2 linked regions of the Diceros bicornis minor genome follow. The protein of the gene in region 1 interacts with the protein of each later gene in a pairwise test. Links are inferred from orthologs where the notes say so. Each region holds a gene or a part of one and is shown on either strand. Other genes may lie near its edges.

Region 1 (7,610 bases):
CCATAAAAGACTCCAGCGAGGAATGACAAAGTTGGATGGTAATCAGTGAAACATTTCAATCATTCAAACATTGTCAAGATTTATATTTCAAATTTTGCTCATCTTTTTGTACCTTTAAGTGAGCATTAAGCATATTTTGAAATAGATAACTGGAAACAGGCATCTCCCCCAACTCTGCCACTATCATAATGTATTGTTATTATTATTATTATCTTTAGCTTTTCATGCAACACTTATTTAGTGAGCATCTACTGTGTGTGAAGCATGGGTGAACAATACAAAGTCCCTTCCCTCAGGAAGCTTATATCCTAGTGGGAGGAGACAACAAAGAGTAAGCCAACAGACAATATCTATTTACAGGTTGTGGTTAGTGCTCTTACTGGGGGGCCAGCCTCGTGTATTGACTACCTGCTCTGTAAGGCTCTGCGGTACATATGACAACAAATAAGACAGCAATCTGCCAGCAAGGGGCTTAGAATTGATGAGTTAACAGAAGACCAACAATTGTCAGTCTTTGGTAAAAAGGATCACTAAGATATGGCAAATTACAGTTGTTTTGAGGATTAGATTCTATACTAATATGATCCATTACAAACTGATATACCATGCAGTATGAAACACTCTAGGTGCTCATTTAATGTAAAAAATATATATACAAAGAACAGGGAACTGTGTCTGTCATAGTGTTTCCTAAGACTGAAACCAAAGGAATTTCATGCTTCATAGTTATTTTTTCTAAGTCAAAATAAATTTGATGCAGAATTGAAAACACAAAGCTGTATAACAATATTTAATTGACTCACCAGCTACTACTGTAATTTTAGGCTTAATGATTTTATTTGCTGCCAGCTTCTGTATATACTGCACTAACATTTGCTAACTGGCTTCAGAATACGGACCAGAAATTTAAGAAAAAAGAAAGAAAACACCATCAGTAATTTTTATATTAGTGAAAGGTTTTCTTTCCTCTTTTGAGTATTTTTGTTTCAGGGATACAATATTATTTGTCATTATTTTGATCCAGGAAAGATCTGTGTGTTCTCAAGAGCCATTCATACCAGCTTAATGGCAGGATCACCTAACTTGAGAAATGGTGTGTCACGCAGACCCAAAAGCGAGACAAGAAAAGGGTTTGGTTTCACAGTGAAGTGGGGTACCACTGCCAGGATACAGAAAACAATTTCCTTTCAACCTCTGCTGCCAGGTCTCTGACTCACGTTTCCTGTGTGTTTTAGAATGGATGACCCTAGGACAGTTGAGTTATTGCATGCTGGAGCGACTTTGACATGTCTTCTGATGTAAAGGAGAGAAAAATGAAGTCATGCTAAGTCCCACAACTCAAAGCATCTGTACAAAATATCATCTTCTTTTTCTCAGGATGTATTTCTCTAACAGGTGTGCAATTCAGCACATAAAGATATTTGAGTTGTAATAAGTATAGGCTGTTTTTGGTCTATAATAATGACTATTTAGGCTGGATTCCCCCAGAAGCTGACCCTGAGATATGGTTTCAAGGGCTAGTATCTAACTTGGGAGGTGATACCAGGAAACACCAGGAAGGGAGTGGGTATGCCAGGTGGGAAAGGGAAGGAAGCCAATAAAAGATGTGCTGTGAAGGCATTCCCGAGGGAGCTCTGAAAATACCCTGGATAACATGCCTCCGAACTACCCTGGGAACGGCAGCCCAATAGTTATACAACTATCTTTGGTTGAAGCCTACTTTTGGGCCGATGAACTTGCCAGTACTTCCAGCTTCCCCTGCATTGAGAAAGAAAGCCCTGAGGCACCGAGGGGCAGGTGTTCCCAGAAAGAAGCCTTCTGAGAGCAGAGGGCACAGCAGAGGAATATGGGTAGGCTCTGATGGCCTCTGCCACTGTCCATCCCTCGCATGCTGTGTTGTGTTCACGCTGTCCTGTCACTGACTCCTCACACTGATGTCCCATCACACTCACATCTGGAGCACTGATAGGTCGAGCTATGGGCTCCTGCTGCCGTTGGTCCTGAGGCCATTGTGATTCTCATAATCTTCTTCCTTTATCACCTATTCTAGATTCCCCTCACCCTTAACTAGCACTTCCGCTGGCCCAGGTTGCTTGCTTGAAGTGACCCAGACCTTCGTCCCTGTAGGATCTGAGCCTCTGGTTGCCATGCCCTTGTCAGGCCAGGGTTGCTGCATTGCGCATTTGCTGATATCACCAGGCATAGAAAAGATGCCCAGTGAGTGCCTTGAGGTCCAGAAATAATCCTCCCTGCTCCTATATCCTCCTGATCGTAAAGGTCAATTTTTTTGTTTCCTGTATGAGGATCCCAAACGAGGAGAGGGCTTTAGATATAGTGGAATCTTGTGTCCCCTGGCAAAGCATCCTCTCCTGCCATAGGAGCCAGGACTCTATTTGGACGCAGCACTGTACGCTGGTATTAGGTTCAAAATATATACTACATCCCATAGCACAGCAGCTCAATGCTGCAAAATGTTACCCCTAAGCTGGAGCCTTAGCTGTGCCTTTAAGAGGCCATTCTAATATTCTATCAGGGTGTCAGCTTCTGGGTGTGTGATGTATGTAGAACCATTGGCTCTTGTGGTATTGTCCCCTTTGTCATACCTCTTTCACTCTTAAAGGGGTCCCTGGTCCCAGGTGATACTATGGGAAATTCCATGATGATAAATCCGACCCTGTGTGAGCAATTGGATAGTGATGCTTGCCAGGGCCCTGCAGGCAGGGAAGACAAACCCAAACCCAAGATATGTAACTGGGTCTGAGGAAATCACCTTGCCACCAAGGAGCTGCCTGGTCTCCTCGAGGGAAGGTATCATACCTCTAGCTGCACATTGGCCTCTGCAGCTGGAGGGGGAACACACTGTCTAGATCTACCTTGTTAAGAGGGGTCCGTGCAGCTCCATCCCTGCCACCATGGCTACTCCATTCATAGGCCCATTGTACAAACCCTGGGCTGGCCCAGGACAGAGGCTGGTCAAATCATTCTGGTGCCCCTCTGCTGTGGATGCTGTCTGGTAGGCATTCATGTGAGACACACAGATTGGCCAAACACAAAGTTTGTGTAAGGTGTAAGTGTGAATTCCTGGGCTAAGAGATGGCAAGACCCCCCACCATGGTTGTGCCTCTGCTCCACAGCTACCCTCCTCTCCATTCAGCTGTAGCAGGTTACTCCAACAGGTCTCCTACCTTTGGGAATTTCTAGAAGGGAAGCAGGTAGCACACTCTTGATCACATACAGTCCCAGTGGTAGGCCAATTCTCCCAAGAACGGGACCCCCCATGCTCACCTCCACTCTGATGGCAGCAAGCACAGGCTCCTGCGTGTCTCAGGTCAGCAAGCACTAACCTGGCTTAGAGCCAACTGGGTGAGTCTCTTCTAAGCTTCGAAGAGGTGTCCGACCCCGGTTGTTTGGGGCTCTCTTTAAAATGTGGAGTGACTTTAGGGTTACTATATACTGTTGAAACAAGGACACTTGACCATGAAAGGGACACTCAATAATTAAGCCAGGATAACAGACAAAAACCAGGGTTATCTCACGCAGAGTGGGACATGTGGTCACCCTAGTTATCTGCCCCCTTTTCCAGTCTAAGTGGCCAATTCCAGGACAGCCAGAAAAATCCCTCTAAATATCCTGTCACTCAGCTTAAACTCCATGGTTCTCCATAATGTCATTTCTTTGCATAGACCCTCAAGTCCTTTGCTCCCTGCTCCTGCCTATCTCCAACCTAGGTTACAACTAATTTTCTGCTAACTCTCTATCTGCACTAGAGCAGCCAAAACATACACATGCTGACTGGTCCCATTTTAAACTTAGGACTACACATCCCAAGGGGACTTTCAGCTTTGCCTGGAAATCCTACCACATTTTCTTAGTAATTTTCTTCACAATATTCAGGATAAAGATTTCACCCTTTCTCCTTCCTCCTCACACCTCCCTTGCCCTGCATCCTCTGTTTTCATGGATGATCTTGCTGCTGCTTTCGCTAATAAAAGAGAAGTAACCAGAAGAGTATTTTCTCATCACTTTCCCCTGTCCCCACCTTTGTCCCCTTAGTGCAGACCACCATCATTTCTTGACAAGACTGCTGCAGTCGCTCCCTCAGTGCCATCTCTTTTCCTCTTGCCATGCCACGGTTTATCCTCAGCCCAGGGAGATCCTGACAGGAAGTGACTGCCTTTATTCGCCTGTGCGTCTCTAGCGCCCTGCACGGCGCCCAGCCGGTGGAGGTGCTCACTAAGTTTGCCGAACTGAAACGATCACACTCAGGGTTTCCAGGCTGTAGACTGGCATTCTCCTCCGCAACGTCCATGGTCCTGTGGCTTTGTGTGTCACCTAGCCTCCCAGGGCCTCGTTGGAGCCAGTGTCCTGACCCGCTGCAGCGTCCTGGCTCAGGGCAGGGCCCACCACAAAAGCAACGAGTGCCATCCTCCGGCGTCTCTGGCGGGACCCGACGTCGCGGGGCCGGAGGGTGCACACGGCACGCCCCCACCCCAGTGCGGAGCCCGCCCCGCCCCTCCGCGGAGGCTCGGCCATCGAGGACTCGGCGCTCGACTGCGCGGCGGATCGACGCCCTCGGCGCTCGCGGGGCGGAAGTGCGGCGCGGCGGTGGGGCGGCCGGCCGGGAGCGCTGGCGAGAGGGAGGCCTGGCGGCGCGGCCGGAGCGCGGCCAGCGGGCGGCAGGTACGTGTCGGAGCCCCGCGTACCGGCGCAGGGCCAGTCCGGGAGCGCGGGCCGGCAGGGCGGCGGGCGGCCTGCCGCGCGGGCGGTCGGAGGAGGCCCCGGCCCCGGCCCCGGCCTCTGCCGCTACCGGGCCGCCTGTGGGGAAGGGGCGGTCGCCACCCGCGCCGGCGGCACCCCCGGGTCTCCGCGTCCTGGCCGGGCGTTGCCCCGACGCTGACCCTCGGGGGTGGGCGTGCTGGCCTCCCCGGCCCCTCGCGCCCTGTGCGGCGGTCCCGTGTAAGGCTGAGGGTGGGGTCGTGAACAGCGGCGTGAGGCGGTTTCGCCTCGGTTGGGAGCTGTACCTGTCAGGTTCCTGACAGGAGCTGGTGCCTGTCACCGTTCTCAGCGTCTGCGTCCCCTGATTGACGTAATGCCCGAGAGAGTGGATGCTGACGTAGTGTCCCGTTTTACTGTTGGGGACACGGGAGCTCAGAGTGGTCAAGTGCTAGCCTGAGGTTGTATACTCCTCGGTGTTTGAGCTGCCCCTGGGACCATGCAGCGAGGCTCCAGAGCCTGCACACCCAGCCACTGTGTTCTCTCTCCTCTACGCCCGCTGGTGCTGAACTTGATACCCCAAGATTTTGCAAATAGACACTTTGTTAATTCCAAGAAACAGTTTTTGAAAGAGCTTGTCTTTAAATGGGAATAATCTACTTCTAATCGCTAAAGGTCAATCATACTAATAACTATGAGAAAATTTGTTTCTTTTTTTATGAATCTGAATAAACTTACAAGGAAACCGTTGAAAAATATTTTAAGAATCAGCCACACCTTAATTAAATCGTTTGGGGACACTGTATTGAAAAGCTAGTTCTAACTGAGGTTATGTGCATCCGTCTCCTAATGCATAATAATATTTTGTTTATAAATGTTAGTACATATATTCTGGCCAGACTTTGTGTAACTGACTCTAATGTCAAAGGAACTGAAAGCCAAAAGCTTCCCAGGGATCATCTGTGTGTTGAAAGTTGTTGACTCAAAGGGTGGTAATAGAAAGAGGATAATGTGTGCTTAGTACTCAAATGTTCTCTTCTGTTGGATTAAGTAGAAACTTAATAATTTTAAGCAGAGAAGCAGAGGATCCCCCAGAGTAAGTTGGAACAACTCTTGGAAGTTTCAGAAAGTATATATTTTTTCTTGTCAAGTGTTTAATATCCTGTACTGACTATCATTTTGAACTATATTACCTTTCTAAAAGATGGTTATTAACCTGCTGAGTTAAATTTTCATTCATTCCACAAATATTTGAGAGCCTGCTGTGTATGAATCTATGAGAAATGAAATTGGTACCCAAAAATTTTTGGCAAGACAGTCTTCTAATAAAGGACTTTGACAATTTTTGGTGTCAGGCACGGGCAGGATCAGGCCATATGGGAAATGTGGGTATGCAGTTCATCTCTCAATTTCTTTTTCACTCCTTCTCCAGTTTAGTCATCTTTGTCAGCCAGGAACCTAGTATAGCACCCGACACATAGTAGGAGCTTATTGAATGGATGAGTTTTAGGTCAGTAATGAGTAGAGAGAATTTTGAAATTGACTGGAGGAGAAATAACATTGATCACTCTGCAAAGCAGTAGTCTACAATGTTGATTGTTCTCAGACCCTGGGGAATATGTTCATGGCTCCCCTGGAGTGCCTGGTAAAATAGCATGGTAGTAGTGTTCCATTATAATCACATGATTCAGTGTGTTTATGTTAATTTAAAAGAATTATTATTGATACAAACACAAAGTAATTGTAGAGAAATTATGACTCTTGAAGCTGTGGACACACCCATAGGCATCCTTGGACTTCAGTTTGAAATTATGGATTCAAAAGGTATTTTGGTTTAGGAGTCAAAGCAAACATTTAGTGGTCCATGTGCTGCCACCCACCTGCTTCGTAGTGTGGGCTGTTACTTAGCTTCTTTGGGGTTCAGTTTCCTTTTTCCTGTAGTCAGAGAATACATAAAACTAGATTATCTCAAACAGTTCTTCTGGCTTTGAAATTTTCCAACTCAGTGAATCCTGTAACCACTTAGCACAGGGATAACCCTGTGTTGTCTTCAGGGCTATAGCTATTGCTGGTATTTACATATCTGTCAAAAGACTAAGCTCTTGCCAGACAGGGCTTAGTCTCAGTCATTTTTGTGTCTGCCAATTTTAGCATATGCCTGACACACACATTAGAAATAAAATAGTATTAGCCTGGATTCAGAAGGGGTGTTTTTGCCCTCTAGATTAAAGATTAAAGAATTGCTGAGAACTAAACTGTAGTATTGAGTGTAAGTACAGCAGGAGTTCAGAGAAGGGAAGGATCTGTTGGGGTTCGAGTTGTTGGGAAGGCTTCATGGAGGTCAGACCTTGATGGAGAGGATGTGGTCCTTTGGAGGGAGGGCATGTTAACATCTGGCGGCATACCAGGAACAAAGGCCACATTTTGGATTATGAAATGCCTTGAAGGTCAGGCACAGGAGTTTGGACTGATTTACTAGGCTTTTTTTTTTTTTTTCTGGAAAATTGTATTAGGCTTGCTCAAAAGCTTCATGAGTATTCTTTAACTTAATGTTGTTGGTAGCATTTAAGACTGGGGTGGATCATACAGTTGGCTTTATTTTTGGTTTTGGCTTTAGTAATTCCTTGTACTTACTATTTCCCACTTAAAATAAATCTTGGTGCCAATAATGGAAAGAACAGTGGACACTGAAATTTGGGAAGCCTGGATTTTAGTTAATTAGAATGTAGTTGCACCAGGTGGATCCAGGCAGGCCTTCACGTGGCGCCTGGCACAGTTAGCCTTCGGTGCTCCTTGGGCAGCGCCGAAGGACTGCTCTCCTTGCTTCCTGCTAGCTGTGCTGCTTTTGGCAAGGTTGGCACCTAGTTTCATCTGTAAGCTTTGATGAATTTTTAAAG
Region 2 (7,726 bases), on another chromosome or scaffold:
GCTTGTATCTGGTTATCTGGAGGTCAGTATCAGGTCTGTGGCGGCTGTTGACTGTGCAAATTTTTGGAAGTACGGAGCACGTGTCTCCACAAAGAGGGAAGGGGAGAACCTGAGCCGGCATGTAGTAGGGACGGGAGATAATGATGAAGACTTATTACTCAATGACAAGACAGACTTGACTTTATTTCTGGGAGATAACTCTTTGTAAGCTATGATGGCAAAAAGATAAGTCCAGCTAATTCAATAACGGAAAATAGACATGAACTATTTTTTTCTAACATGTTTCCCAGGTAGATTAATTCTTTTGGAAGATGAAAGGTTTATCTTCTATGTAATTACTTGGGCCTCTGCCTTTCCAGCAGAGCGATTCCGGGAACATCTGTTTAGTTCCTGCTGGCTGGCTGGGCCTGTAGAGCCCACAAAGAAAGATGGTAATAGGGAAAGAGAAGCTCTCATTAAAACACTTAGCAAAAGTGGTTTTCAAAACCCCCAGTAAGTCTTTTACAGTGGCAATAACTAAATTGAGCACCAAAGTCAAGATTTTGGATACGTTTGGGAGTAAGTAAATACCAGGGGCTTTTCTTGGTAGCTGCCAGCAGAAGGCTGCAAGGAAAAGGCGGCTTGGGGCTACTGCCCAGGCTTTGGAGGAGGGTTCCAGTAATGTATTACCTTACCTGTTGCCTTGGGTGAGAACTCGAGAGTTGGAAACTTTTCCTGAGGAGGGATACATCACTCCATTCTAGTAGTGTGAATTAAAGATCTGTGGTCTCTGCCCCCCATACTTCTCTTGATCTAGGACATTAGATTTTCATCCACTGGATGATACAAATGCCCAGGAAGGAGTGGGTACCCACTGAGCTGTCATCAGTCATTTATTCCTGCGTGTGAATGAGCCTATGAGACCCGTTCCCGAGAATAGAACGAGAGAGCAAGAAGTGGACAGAGAACATTTGGGCCCTGAGGGGTGGAGAAACACAGAATAGAAAGATGACTGAAGAGCTGAAGATGAGCTCCATCTAGTTTTGCTGTTTACAGTAGATTCTTCCCATTTTCTTCAGTGGGCAAGAATGGCTTTTTTTTTTTTTTTTTTCATTTTTCCATCTGTAGATTTGTGGCTCCTTTCTTTTCTAATCACCAAATACCAAATGCCCACAGGGATGTCGGAGCTTGTCAGACTCTTTCTAATAATACCATCTATTTATATAATCCTGCAGCTCAGTGGAGCACGTCTCTGATGCTGACTGATGTTCTAGGAAACTGGTCAGCTGCCTTCTCCACACCCTCCTCCATTCCTGCCTGGATTTTGAGCACCCATATCCCTGGGGTCAAAGCACCTCTAGGGGTCCTGACTTCCAGCCTTGCCTCTGCGTCCTCTGGGATTTGGCAGGAGGACTCCTGGTTTAGTCATCAACTCTCTTGCTCCCCTCCTCCTGCAGTCTCCCCAGATCTCCTGTTACCGAGGGCAGACTACCCTTTCTAGCCTCGGCCCTGTGGACTCCAGTTTGCTTGGACTCCCAGAACAGCCTCCTAATCTCCATTCCCACATCTGCCCCTTGCAGCAGCCAGAGTGGTCTTTTTAAAACCTCAGTCAAAGCATGTCACCCTCCTGGCTCGAACCTCCTCGGTAGCTTCCTGTCACCCTTGGAATAAATTCTAATCTCTTTATCATAACCCATAATCTGGCTTCTACCTCCCTCTCCCCTGTCCTGCGGCCTCACTCTCCCCTGGGCTCACGCACTCATCCAGTCTCCTGTCTGTTCTCAAGTGTACCAAGCTTTTTTCTGCCTTAGGAGTTTGTGCATGCTTGTCCTCTGTCCTCTCCTTCTCTTCACTCCCAATTTTTTCCAAGATTGATTCCTTTTCATCCTTCAGTTCCCAGTTTAAATGTCACCTCCTAAGAGAGACCTTTTTTGACCACTCAGTCTCAAGTAATGACACAATTTGTAATTATTGAGTTGCTTGTTTGTTCCCTGGGTTATTGTCTATTCTCTTGTCAGAGTTGTTCAACACTGTGCCCCCAGCTTGGCACACTTTAGGGCCTTGTAGCAGTCAGAGCAGGCTCAGCTAGGCGGCAGTGATGAACAACTCCCAAATCTTAGTGCCTTCAAACCACAAAGGTTTGTTTCTTAGTCATGCTAAATGTCATCGCAGGTTGGCAGAGGGGCTGTGCTCATTGTAGGGTCTCAGGCTGGTGGAGCAGCCACACTCCCAAACATTCCCAGTGACTGTCCCATAGAGACCAGAGCTCTGGAGGGTCTCGTGTTAGCAAATAAATTCTCCAGCCCCAAAATGATTTATGTGTCACTTCCGCTCACAAGTCACTGGTTAGAGCTAGTCACACAGCCTCACACAATGACAGCAAGCTAGGAAGTTCAATCCTATCCAGTGCCCAGGAGAGAGAAGTGGAAATATCTGCCCAACAGCAGTAAAGACTCACACAATACTCAGTAAATACTTTTGAAAATGGGAGTGTCTAGAATGTTCTTTCCACAGCTACAGTGGGTTAGAGGGACCTTACAGGGTCCTGCTGGGGATCTTGTATTCCTGCTGCTTAGGCCCCTGGCTCTGCCGGGAGTCAGAATTCCCACAGGAGAAGCTCAGCAGATGAGAGTATCCTCTGAGACCTGACATGAGCAATCCCAGTGGCAGTCGTGGCCGGTGGCCTCTCAGTGCTCTTCCCCTGGTGGGACATGTTCCTGGGCTCGTGTCCTCGGTGAGACAGTCCCTCACTGTCTGGCAGGGTCCTTTATTCCACTCTGAATCTACCACACTCAGCTAGGGCCTGGCATGTCCAGGAGCTGAATAGATGATCCTACTGGTGGAGTCCCAGTAGAATCCCTGAGTACAGGGCCTGAGGTTTGGAGTTGAGGGGTGGGAGGCAGAGGATGAGTGTAGCATTTCTCAAAAAGCCCAGTGCATCCTGCATAACATCACATTACTAATACAAAGGAATGGCAGTTACACAGCCCAGGAAAGTGAGAAAACCCCCTGTGCCTGCTGTGGGTCCTGGGGGTGTGGGAACAGGAAAATCCTGGTCTGTCCATGACCCTGATCCTGTTCCCTTAACTACTGATTTCCCTTGGGCAGGCTGCTGCAGCCAGGTCTCCTGTCTAAACTTGCATTTGATAAAACAGCATCACCAGAGCAGGTCCTTTTCACCAGGCTGCACACACCACTGGTTGCTCTATGGTGGTGTCCCACAGTCCCAGATACAACAGGCCTTGAGAGGGAATGCTGACCCTAGGTTGGTTATAACATGCTTAAGTGTACATCTTGGCCTCTGGTGGCAATCACAATTTAAGCTAACGTTTGTTGAGCACTCACCAAGTTCCTAGTACTGTACTGAGAGCTTTATAGGTAATCTCATTTAAATCTTCACACCTATAGTGTGAAGGTACTGCTCCTATTGGGCAGCTGGGGAAACTGAGGCCCACAGAGGCTAAGTAACTTCCTAATTAACTGCTGCTTATATGGCAGAGCCCTCCTTTGAACTTATGCTGATTGCAAACCTGTGCACTTAATTATTACTCCATAGGAAAAAGACATTCTTCTATTTACTAGGATATTCTTCTGGTTACAGTTTTTTGTTAAGCCTATTACTTAAGACTAAAGTAAATCTTCTGTGCTTTTTGATACACTTGGTGGTGGAGGGCCTGGACCTGTTAGTTGATTATACATAGCAATCTAATCAAGGCACAAAGCCTCGCATATAATACACATGTATCCTAATGTTTAATTATCAACAACGAAGGAATTAATTACACGGTGCTGCTACTGTGGATATCAAATTGAACAAGAGAGTTTCCTTCCCTAGAGATTATAGAGGCTGACATTTAAACAATTAATTGCGATACAGTGTTGCGTGTAGGGGTCAACGGGGCCACAAATCCTGCGGAGGCAGAGTGAGGGGTTGGGGGAAGATTCAGCTCTAGGAAGGTGCGGTTAGTTAGGAAAATCAACCCAAGGTTAAGCTCTATTTGGATAGAAAATTACAAGTTCCCGGACTTTGCAGGACAACGACGGGGGCAGGTTGTGGGAGAAAAACCTGTCTGTCGGCCATGAGCTTGTCTACTGCATTTCCTGCCTCAAGGCTACCGCTGGGGTTAGGACTCTGGCCCTTGTATGTGACCTGGGTCAAGTTATTGCTAGGCATTGGTCAAGTAACTGCATTACTGCTAATGGGATGTCATTAGCCAAGCGAGTCGTGGCGGCACGAGGAGCTCCCGCCTCAGGAGCCCCTGGCCGGCGTCCCGACAGCCGCCTGGACCCTTCGACACCCGCGCACTATATCGTAATTTTCCTATGTTTCTCTAGATCAGGTCTGCTCCTCTCTTTTGCTTTCCACTACTTTGGCCTCGCCCTGACCCAAATCCAGGAGGGGAACGCCCTCCGCCCGCCCAAGCCGGGAGTCCCCAGACCCGCTCCAACTCCTTCACTGCAGCAGCGGTCACGTGCAGCCTGTCCGGCCGCGGAAAAGAAGAAGGAAGTGGAGGTGGGTGGGGCAGGCGCGCCGAGCCCGCCCCTCCCGCGTGAGACGGCTTCTCCTTGGCGAAGCCTTCTCCACGGCCTCCCGAGGCTTGGAAGCTCCGCTTCGGATTGGCCAATAGGCTCTCGATGGGCGTGGCCTCCAGGGAGAGGGCGGGAACGGAAGAGAGGGCGCGCTCCCGGGAGGCAGGGTTGCCTAGGCGACGCCGGGGGCGCGCTCGTGGGGTGGGAAGGGAGCCGGGGCTGCTCAATGACAAATCGGCAGGGGACGGCTGGGGTCCGGCCCCGCGAGGAGGAGAAGGAGAGGGCGGGGCGGGTTTAAGAGCCGCGGGCCTGGTGCGGACGGCCAAGGCGACGCGGGACAAGTCCCAGGTGAGCGTGTCCGCGCTCTGGCAGGGCCCCCTCCGGGCGGGGTGGGGCGCGGGCTGGGGAAGTAGGTGCGCCGCCCTGTGCTGTGGCCGGCGGCCGGACACGTCGCGCCCGGAGCCTGGGGGAAGGCGACGCCGGGGCAGTGGCCCCGCTCGGCTCCGGGCGGTCCTCTGGAGAAAGCCTCCAGGCCTCCCAGACTGGCTTGGGGCTGAGGAAGTGGGGGCGGCGCCCCAGCCTCTCCCTTTTTGCCGCTCCTTTCCTTTTCCCACAAATGGCCTCTGCTTCCACTTCCTGCCCTTTTGGGCCTCCAGCCCGAGGATGGTCCACTTCCTTAGTGCCTGAGTTGCGGCTGTGGGCAGGGTCAGGGCCATAAGTGTTGCAAAACTTATTAGTACCTTAAGAACTTGCACTTGGACTGAAGTGGGGCCGTGTTCCAAAAGTTGTTTGGTCTAATTGTTTGTTTTTGTGCTCCCTTGCAACTGAGCGTAAAGTTGTTTTTTTGACTCCCCGGCCCCCCGGTTCCTTACTGATAGGGGCTGGCACCGAAGGTGGCGTCTGATAGAGAGCACCATGGACTTGAACTGTTTGTCTGGACGAGGCTGCAGCACCTCTCTTCTTGCCCTCTTGTAGGTGTACTATAAGGTTATCCGTGGTTGGTTCAGAACTGCTAGTGGCGGACGGAGCTGCGCCCAGGCTGTTTGTTTGAGCAGTGTGCTTTCTGTGCTAATTTTCGGGTGAATACTGGAAACGTTGGAACTTGGATGTTGTTATCAGGTGACTCTTCTGGGGAGAAGTTGTGTCTGGTGGACTGATTGAGGACTGCCAATGGTGGAGACTTGGCTGTTTCTTCATTAGAGTTATCTGTGACTCTATTGCAACCCTCGAAGAACAGTGAACCTTCTGCTTTGTCCTAGTTTCCTAATCTTCCTTCTTTTTGTTAAGTTTTAGGGATGGATAGCGGGCACTGATTATCAGAGGGGCTAGTGTATCTTTTAGATGTGTAAATGACCCATGTTCTAGGCAGAGCAACAAGATTCTTGGATGTCAAAGCTCGAAACAGTTAAAGTCAATGTTCCTTAAACCTGAAGCAATACAATTAGAATATTGAAGTTCTCAGAAAAATGGGGTGGCAGTGAAAGGTAGTGTTGACTATTGGGAAGAGGAGGAGGGCAGACTGTGAAGACCTGGGTTTGATGCTGGTTCTGAAATTATTAGTGGTGTGATCTTGAGCACGGCCTTTCAACTCTCTGTGCGGCAGAGTCCACAGCTGTAAAAAGGTGATAGTGGGTATCCTGCTTGTTAGGATTAAGCGAAATAAGGAATGTATAAGGTGTTCTTTGTGGTGGTGGGGGTGGGATGAAGGTAGGGGTGGGAATAAGGCTGGGGATACACATCCCTCGTGTGTGGTTTTAGTCGTGTCAGCTAGTTTGCTTTCTTCTGACCACATCTGGGTCTTTCCTTCCTTTTCTATTCATGGTATTTCCCATTGGAAACAGTAGATGCTCTTATCTGAGATCTCAGCAAGATTTCCCTGTGCCCGAGGAGTAGAACCTTTCCCAGGATTTTGTGTGGAAAAAAGTAGGGGTATAAGTTACTAGATACCTTTTGGGAATATGGGACCTAGACACATAAAGATAGGAAAACAAGAATTAGAGCCTTAAATGAGATCTAAACGGGTCTTGGTGGAAGAAGTGGAAAGGTTCTCAATTCTTGTGTTAATTCTTCAAGGTTCTTTCCTTGGCTGAAGATGGCTTGAGACTCTGGAAATTTTTAAACCAGAGAGTTGACATCATCCTTTGTGCCACATCACCCACTCCCACAATACCTCTTTGCATTCAGTTACTAAATTCTTATCCACTCATGGAATTGATGTAAGTTAGAAACATCATTGGAGACCTTTTCTTGAAAGCTAAATTTGGAGACAATATAACAAACCAAAACTACAGTGTTGAAAGAGATCTTGGTGAACTCTTCTGAGGTTTCCAGTGTAATTTTTCTCAGGATGATATGCAAGAGTCCCATTTTTCTTTGGCTCCGATGACTTCTAAACAAATAGCCCTTGCTGTTAGATATGCAAGATACTTGGATTTTTTTTTTTTTTTCAGTGAATACATATTGCTGGGGTGTCTGAATCAAAGAGAGTGGAGTACCAGAGAAAATGGAACTCTTCCCTAATCGTGTGGAGGAGAGTGGAGTGGGTAAGGAGGTAGAGAGAAATTGACATTTATTGAGCATCGGCTGTCTGCTTGGCACAGACTCGCTGATCTAACCAATACCAGATAAATATCTGGCCTTGGAGATTTGACCATGAGCTGTTTCCTTTAGCTCTTCTGTTCTTTTGGTACCTAGGAAGACAAATAGGCATGTATATGTGTACATATCCGTAGATGTTCCAAAAAGTAGGCCAGTAGGCAAGAAGCTATATGAATTTTTGGATGAGTGAGAGCAGAAAGAGAGCTGAAGAGAATATGGAAGCTCAGTGTCAAAGAGGAAAGGTATACGTGGTTATTACAGCAACTACAAAATGCCAGCCAGCTCTCAATTTCAAGTTTTTGTTGCTCTGAAAAAAGTAACTGCTTATAATTTTCCTGAGTGTTGTCTCTTATGGTTGTAGACTCTTTTGGGAGTTTTTGCTTTTTTTTTAATTGAAATCTAAATGAAGAAAAAGGTGCTATTGATAATTGCTAACACAATCATGTGTCACTTAATGATGGGGATATGTTCTGAGAAATGCTTCATTAGGTGATTTTGTCGTGCGAACATCATAGAGTGTACTTACGCAAACCTAGATGGTGTAGACTGTACACGCCTAGGCTGTATGGTACTAATCTTGTCGGACCACCATTGTATGTGGTTTGTTGTTGACTGAAGT

The links. The genes of interacting proteins can lie anywhere in the genome.
Region 2: the proteins of EXOC2 (region 1) and RALB interact in a two-hybrid assay, tested with the Homo sapiens proteins (2 studies listed by BioGRID). The link is inferred for Diceros bicornis minor from reciprocal best matches to the Homo sapiens genes EXOC2 and RALB.

What each region holds. Positions count from the first base shown.
Region 1 is NC_080753.1:65,647,071-65,654,680, forward strand, and holds the start of EXOC2 (exocyst complex component 2), read left to right. Parts: upstream 1-4,602; 5' UTR 4,603-4,680; intron 4,681-7,610. UniProt on the Homo sapiens protein: Component of the exocyst complex involved in the docking of exocytic vesicles with fusion sites on the plasma membrane.
Region 2 is NC_080749.1:12,473,136-12,480,861, reverse strand, and holds the start of RALB (ras-related protein Ral-B), read left to right. Parts: upstream 1-4,718; 5' UTR 4,719-4,857; intron 4,858-6,959; exon of another isoform or gene 6,960-7,052; intron 7,053-7,726. UniProt on the Homo sapiens protein: Multifunctional GTPase involved in a variety of cellular processes including gene expression, cell migration, cell proliferation, oncogenic transformation and membrane trafficking.